2 linked regions of the Sus scrofa genome follow. The protein of the gene in region 1 binds, or shares a complex with, the protein of each later gene. Links are inferred from orthologs where the notes say so. Each region holds a gene or a part of one and is shown on either strand. Other genes may lie near its edges. The genes, in order: ARID1B and SMARCA2.

Region 1 (3,449 bases):
ATGAGAATATTAATATGCCCTGAAATAGAAATAATCACTTTGCACTATGTACACCACATACAATATAACAGAGTCTCTTTAACATTGCACAATATAAATATCATACACGGTGGAGGAAACTAAAAGCGAAAGAACTTTGAGGCACACAGGAAAAACATGGACCAGACTCATCTCTGACGGCAAGTAAGACGGGGTTAGAAAAAGGCAGGAGGTTACACGGTCAGGCCGGCGAGCCCTTAGGCTCTCACCCCACGGCTGGCAGCCGCCTCCCGCACACACTGAAAATTCTCAGACCTCCTTGATGTTAGAGTTGATTGCTTCCGACAAAGACTAATTAGCTCAGTACTTGGAGAAAAATCAAACTGTTGCTCCCCACTCTATAAAGCAGGTAACCCCTAAACGTCCCTCCTGGTCTCAGGGTTCCGTAGTGAGGGGCTACGTTAGTACGCGGCTGTATTTCCCTATTTCTGGTTACTATGCAACCACTGGAAGGAAACCAGAACAGTATTCAAGAACACCCATCACAGTGCTTAACAAGATTTAATGTACATTTATTCTTAACATGTGGAACATATAAAGATTTTATACTGAATAAATGATATTCATTAAGCCAGAGGAAAAGGAGGAATTTACATCAAGTTTTTTTTTTTCTTTTTTTTTTTTAAACTACATTATCTTGAAATACAAATGTGGAATCTCGTCACTGAAAAATCTTTGAAGTTGTGTTTCTTCCTTTTAGTTGTATGTTTTTTCTTTTTGTCTGTACGGGTAACCATTATCTAAATCAATCCATATGCAACCATTTCCACACCTTGATTCATGAAGCAAATTGTAATCAGCTGCTCTCCCGAAATAGAGCACGACTTTATACATACAGAAACTTGTACATTACCCTCTTTTTTTTTTTGTTTTTTTATTTGTTTTTGTTTTTTGTATTTTTTCTTTTTTTTTTGAGATATGGCCCTAATGAAAAAATATATAAAATAAAAATAAAAAATTATTTAAATCTACCATCACTTCGTAGTTACCACATCATGAAAAAGAAACTAAAAACTTTGTACTAAAAAAAAAAAAAAAAAAAAAAGAAAAAGAAAAAGAAAAGAAAAAAATGAGGGTATGTTTAATGTACAACTTCTATATACATCACAGCCCATTAGGCAGTAAAAAAAAAAAATATTTAAAAAATGATTAAAGGAATTGTGAAGAACTGTCACGCGGAAGGTCAACGACAGACAGCAGACGTGACGATAGTGGTGAGGAAGCAATTTCCCTTGATCGTTGTCAGGTATGTGTTTTCAATCTTAGCTTAAAAAACATTGTTTTTGCTCCTAGCCTAATGGAACCATTTTTCCTGTGGAGAAACCAGTATCATTTCATAGTTTGACTGCTGACTGACACACCTCCGTGAGCCCCTATACCTACATCTCTAGAAGTTTCTATTGCACAGAACTTTGGGCGATGGGATACAGTTTGCATTATCTGAAGAAGAACACAGCCAGGAAATTGATCATTTTTCACTTTTTTTTTTTTTTTTTGCCTCAGAGTGGTGAAATTTTCCCATCTTAGCATCTTTTGCCATGACTTTTCTCCTGAAAGTCAATTCGCTTCCCCCCAAATGCAATACAACATGGAAAAGAACATTAAAAAGAAAATCTGTGAAAAACAAAAAGTGACCTTTGAATGCACTAGACAGCAACTTTGGTTAAAAAAAAAAAAAAAAAGAAAGAAAAAAACCCAAAAGGATGTACTTATGCACACAGACAGCGAATATTAATTTCATAACTGTTCGAATTAATTATCTCTTTAATTCCCAATTGGTAAATAGTGAATGGGGCAGAGGAGCAGAGATTTTCTTTCCTTCTTCCTACGCTGGATAAACAAGAACAGAAAACAGCCAGTTATACGGGAGCCTCTAGTCTTCACTCACACATGCTGCCTTCTCACTGGTGTCATAACTGCCCAATCTGAAACAGTACATCACAGATGACAGACGCAACCAGAGAGTTCAGGACAGCTGATATCGAGATATCCAGCAATCGACCCTCGTGCAGAAGGAATTCTGAGCGGTTCTCGTCCACTCTGGCCATGGCCAGCAGAGCCTTGGCCGCCCTGCACATCATGTCCACGCTAGGGGGCTCTAGAGGCGGGGGCTGCATGTGCATGAGGTTATGCTGGCTCTGCTGATACTGGGCCATGGTGACCCCATCCTCTAGGAAGCTTATCAAGTTGCCAATGCTCCCCTTTTGCACAGCTATCGCCCTGGCAGCCAGCGCGTCCCCCTGGGCAAGGTTCGACAAAAGCGCCATGGACATTTCTCGACAGACTGGGTTTTTGCGATCCCCAACGTACCTAACTAACGTGGCATAGAATTTCTCCTGACGACTAAATGGAGGCGTGGCCAAGATCAGGTCCACATTATTGTCCTGGATGCTGAGTTTACACAGCGTCTCCAGCACAAGTCTCTGAGGCGACAGGACAGAGTTGGGGCCCACGGTGGGAAAGGGGTCCTGTGCCTCCGCAGACGGGCACACCATCCAGTGCAGCAAGCCATCCAAAATTGGCAAGCAGATGCTTTCCGTGTACGCAGACAAGTCTAGCTGCCCAGAAATGTTGGCCAAAGTGACCAACGTGTTATCCCTCAAGACCTCGAGGCAGTCCCACCACCACTCATCTTTGCTGCAGGCCACCCCTTTGTCCTCGTCTTCCTCCTTCTCGTAGGTCTGCGGCGCTCGTTTTCTCTCGGGATGCTCGTGGTGAAGAAGAATCAGCTTCCCCAGGATCAGCACCAGGCCTGGATGTTTGGACATTTCGGCGTCATTCCCAGGCACAAAGGACAAGCTCCGGACGATATTCGACACGCAGATGCAGCGCTTAGCCAGCGAGTCCTGCCAGTGCGCGATGGTGCAGAGCGGGGCCTCGTCCCGGCTCCTCGGCTCGTCCTCCAGCAGCTTGATGTTGCGGTGACTTTTGGCTTGATGGATTCCGAAGGGGAACTTACTGCTTTCGGCTTGGGTACCAGGGTTCGCGTCTTCGGGCAGAGCCCCTGGCCGGGCAGACAGGACGTCATCAATGGTCGCGATGATGCTTTTCTCCTGCTGCTCTTCAGAATCCGCTTTGCCTTCCTGGTCTTTCTTCCTGCCTGTGGAGCTTAACGGGGGAGGCGGACGCCTGCGAGGAGGAATTTCCATCTTGCTCTCAAAGTGAGTCTGGATGTGCTCGGTGGTGTCCCCGCCTCCGAGCTGCCAGTGCAGAAGCCCGCTGCTGAACTCCTGGACACGACCCAGCTTGTCAGACCGGTCGACCACAAACAGGTTGTTCTTTTTGACTATCTTTATCGGCAGCTTGTCGAACTTGCTGGCTTGCCTGGGCTTCTCCTTTGGGTCTGCGGTGGCGTCGGGGGAGGCCAAAGCCGTGCCGCTCCTGTCCTCCGGCTCCGGCTTCCCACCGCC
Region 2 (3,822 bases), about 210 Mb from region 1:
TGCTAACCATAGCTTCATTAGCAAGCTAAATTGACTTCGGCAAATATATATATATGTATATATAGAGGGAGAGAGAGCACTCGAGAGTGTAATAATAATAGATTGATCCTGTTATTTAAGCTGGCATCTGTGATGTGGTCGTACAAGGGAACTGGTGGTTGGAATAGGAAAGTTGAACATTTTTGTACTTTCACTCAACCTTCCTTGTGCTTAACATAGGAAATCCAACACTGTGACCCTGGTGCTGTGCTTTTGTACTTAAAAAAATGTTAAACACATTTCCAGGCAGTCAGCTGCCCTTGGGATGCACCTGTATTGCAGAGTTTCCCTACCATGCCTGGGAGCTTTCTTTTCCCAGAAGTGCCAATCTGTGGCCCCAGCAGGTGCCGTTGGCTCCCTGGTCACTCTCTTTCCTCACTTGAGAGGATCCCACCCTGGGCGGGGCTGTTTATGACCAAGAAGGCTATTTATTTATTTACTTATTTATTTATTTTGTCTTTTTGCCTTTTCTGGGGCCGCTTCCGTGGCATATGGAAGTTCCCAGGCTAGGGGTCTAATTAGAGCTATAGCTGCTGGCCTATGCCACAGCCATGGCAATGCAGGATCCAAGCCGAGTCTGCAACCTACACCACAGCTCACAGCAACCCTGGATCCTTAACCCACTGAGTGAGGTCAGGGATTGAACCCAAAACCTCATGGCTCCTAGTCGGATTCTTTAACCACTGAGCCACAACGGGAACTCCCCAAGAAGGCTATTTCTAATGAGTTGTGATCTCTGTGCCAAACCTGCCTTCTGGTTTGTTTTGTTTTAATCCTCACATTGGCTTTTTGTTCTTAGAGTGGTCGGAATGGATTTTCGTTTGGGTTTTCTTCATCTATAATAATCCTAGAATGTCCTATACTGTGAAATGCTAAGTAGGGATGAACGGCAAATCGGATTCAAATCCCGCTAGTAGGCTCCAGCCCATCATTTCTAAATCTGATTAGCACTCCGCACCTGCCAAGCACCAGAGACTCATATTTGAACTTCTTCTTGTGCTAGTGCTTCCCCCACATTCCTACGGTGGGAAATTCCCCCATCCAGCACCGAGGAGTTAAGAAGTCACAGCCTCACTTGAGTTGTATTAGTATTAATTACCTGTGCAGATCTTGGATAATTGAAGCAATTACTCTTCATTTCAGCTCCAGGGCCTGGAATGGATGGTTTCTCTGTATAATAACAATTTGAACGGAATCTTAGCTGATGAAATGGGGCTGGGAAAGACCATACAGACCATTGCACTCATCACTTATCTGATGGAGCACAAAAGACTCAATGGCCCCTATCTCATCATTGTTCCCCTTTCGTAAGTAAAGCCATTTATTCTGAGGTTATCTTTCTTTATGTTGTAGCTAGCTTGCCCTATATTTGTCGTTTATCTGTGTTTTATACTTAAGGCAAGAATTGTAGCCTATAGTGGGTTTGCCAAGAGTGTGTAACCTGGATTTAAATTTTCATTGCCCACCCCACCCCCTAAACCTGCCTCTTTGACTGGCTACTTAAGCGCAGGATGAAGTGATTTTTTTTTTTTTTTTTTTTTTTTTGTCTTTTCTAGGGCCACACCTGCAGCATATGGAGGTTCCTAGGCTAGGGGTCTAATCGGAGCTGTAGTTGCAGGCCTACACCAGAACCACAGCAACACCAGATCTGAGCTGCGTCTGCGATCTACACCACAGCTCACGGCAACATTGGATCCTTAACCCACTGAGTGAGGCCAGGATCAGACCGGCAACCTCATGGTTCCTAGTTGGATTCGTTAACCACTGAGCCATGATGGGAACTCCTGATGAAGTGATTCTTATCAGCCCTCAGCCTAGAGGTCTTCATAGCCAGCACACTGCACAGTGAGTCTCATTCCTCTTCGTGCCCAAAGTGGCTGATGAAGCCAGAAGATTTTGATTTTTTTAAAAATAAGATTTCTCTGATTTTTCTTTTTATTCCATTTCCAAAAGGTTACATATATTCAAAAATTATATATTCTTAAATCTCCCTTTAGTGTCTCTTTTAAAGCATATAAAGCAAAATTATAACTGTGAATTTTGTGTTAAACTGCCCTCAGGACGTGCAGTTTACCTTCAGTAATTTTGCTGCTTTATAAAGATGGGTCTTTGTTGTTCTCCACTAAATTCCTGGGGCCTCACTCAGTGAGTGGTTCCTCCTGGGTCTTTAGCAGATACACCTGAGGAAAGGAACACCTGTTTAAATGCCCTCCTTGGAGCGTCTGGCTGTGGGTGTGAGGTTGCAATTCTCTTCACTGAGATCTTTTAGATCTCAGTGCTCTTTACAGACTTGAGAAAAAAAATGAAAATTCTGTTGCAGTATTTCCTTCCAGTTTTGTCTAAAGAGTTACTTGCAGACCTCTTTAATCCATATTATTTGAATCCATGGTATGTAGACATCTTTTCCATATTATCTACATTTTGAAAATATATTTTGCTTTGTATCTGTATTTTGCAAGTTCTGACTTACCTATTATGTTGATGCTTTTAGGGATTTTTTTTCTTTTTAACGCAATCAATATTTTTTCCCTTGCTCTCTCTTGGCAGATTTATTTAGTTTTTTTTTTTTTTTTTTTTTTTTGTAATTTTGTAATTTCTTTTCTTCGCTTTTTTTTTTTTTGATTTTTAGGGCCGAGGGGTCAAATTGGCATTACAGCTGCTGGCCTACACCACAGCCACAGCAACCCAGGATCTGAGCTGCTTCTGTGATCTAAGCCACAGCTCACAGAAATGCCAGATCCTTAACCCACTGAGCGAGGCCCAGGGACTGAACTCACATCCTCAACAGAACGTAACCCACTGAGCCACAACAGAAACTCCCATAATTTCTTTTCCTTAACTCAACTTTTCTCTGAACTTTACATGGCAGTTTCTAGAGTCCCCATATCACTCTGGCAATTGCTGTTTTTCAATATAACAATTAAGATTTTTTTTATCCTCTATGTTCATGCATTCTTTAATTTTTTTTTCATGTGAACCCACAGATAAATCTCTCATGCTCTGTGGCAGCTTATTTCTAACTTGTACCTCATTTTCACACCTTTAAAATAAATACGTAGTTGAGATTTTTTTATATTCTCTAACTCCTTCTAAGGGGAGGTCTAAAAGTAAGAACATCTTTTTAACCAATAATTTTTATACAAATGTCTCTCTATTTTTTGGTTTGTTTTGTTCTATAGGACTCTCTCTAACTGGACATATGAATTCGACAAATGGGCTCCTTCTGTGGTGAAAATTTCTTACAAGGTTTGGAATACTGTATTTATACATAAATGTGGAAAAGCAGAAAATAGACTCTATTTTCTTCATTCCATATGCACATCTGTGAACTGTATTTGGTTGTAAAGTTTTGTCATGTACATCATGTACTAAACAGTGAGAGTTAATCATCCCAAGAAGATTACTGTAATAAACCATAATTACTTTCAGATAGTGAAATGCAGAAGAAAATTGTTAATTATCATATTGCGAGGTTTCTGATGAGAGTAATACAAATGACAAATATCACACATCCCGCGTGCTGCCACTGGGCCCACTGTTCCTGCAAAGTTGGGCAATTACCCAGGCGCCTGGGTGCTGCTAGATGCTCCTGTAGAGAGGGAGCCTTTCAGCAGAGCAGCAGGTTCCCTGCTACCTTGAGGTCGCCGTAATTTCCTTTTCTCTCCCTGCCCTCCTTTGGTCTGCATTGGGAAAGCCTCTCCATAAGGGTCTGAAAAGTGTCCAGATGTGTGTGCAATTTTGCTAGCCACTTTCTTCTTGGATAATGGATCCATATATGATAAT

Evidence for each region.
Region 2: ARID1B (region 1) and SMARCA2 share a complex: the UniProt entries of both Homo sapiens proteins name them as parts of the neuron-specific chromatin remodeling complex. The link is inferred for Sus scrofa from reciprocal best matches to the Homo sapiens genes ARID1B and SMARCA2.

The regions. Positions count from the first base shown.
Region 1 is NC_010443.5:9,791,097-9,794,545, forward strand, and holds the end of ARID1B (AT-rich interactive domain-containing protein 1B), read right to left. Parts: coding exon 1,950-3,449; 3' UTR 531-1,949; downstream 1-530. UniProt on the Homo sapiens protein: Involved in transcriptional activation and repression of select genes by chromatin remodeling (alteration of DNA-nucleosome topology).
Region 2 is NC_010443.5:219,745,749-219,749,570, reverse strand, and holds part of SMARCA2 (probable global transcription activator SNF2L2), read left to right. Parts: intron 1-1,182; coding exon 1,183-1,346; intron 1,347-3,218; coding exon 3,219-3,285; intron 3,286-3,822. UniProt on the Homo sapiens protein: ATPase involved in transcriptional activation and repression of select genes by chromatin remodeling (alteration of DNA-nucleosome topology).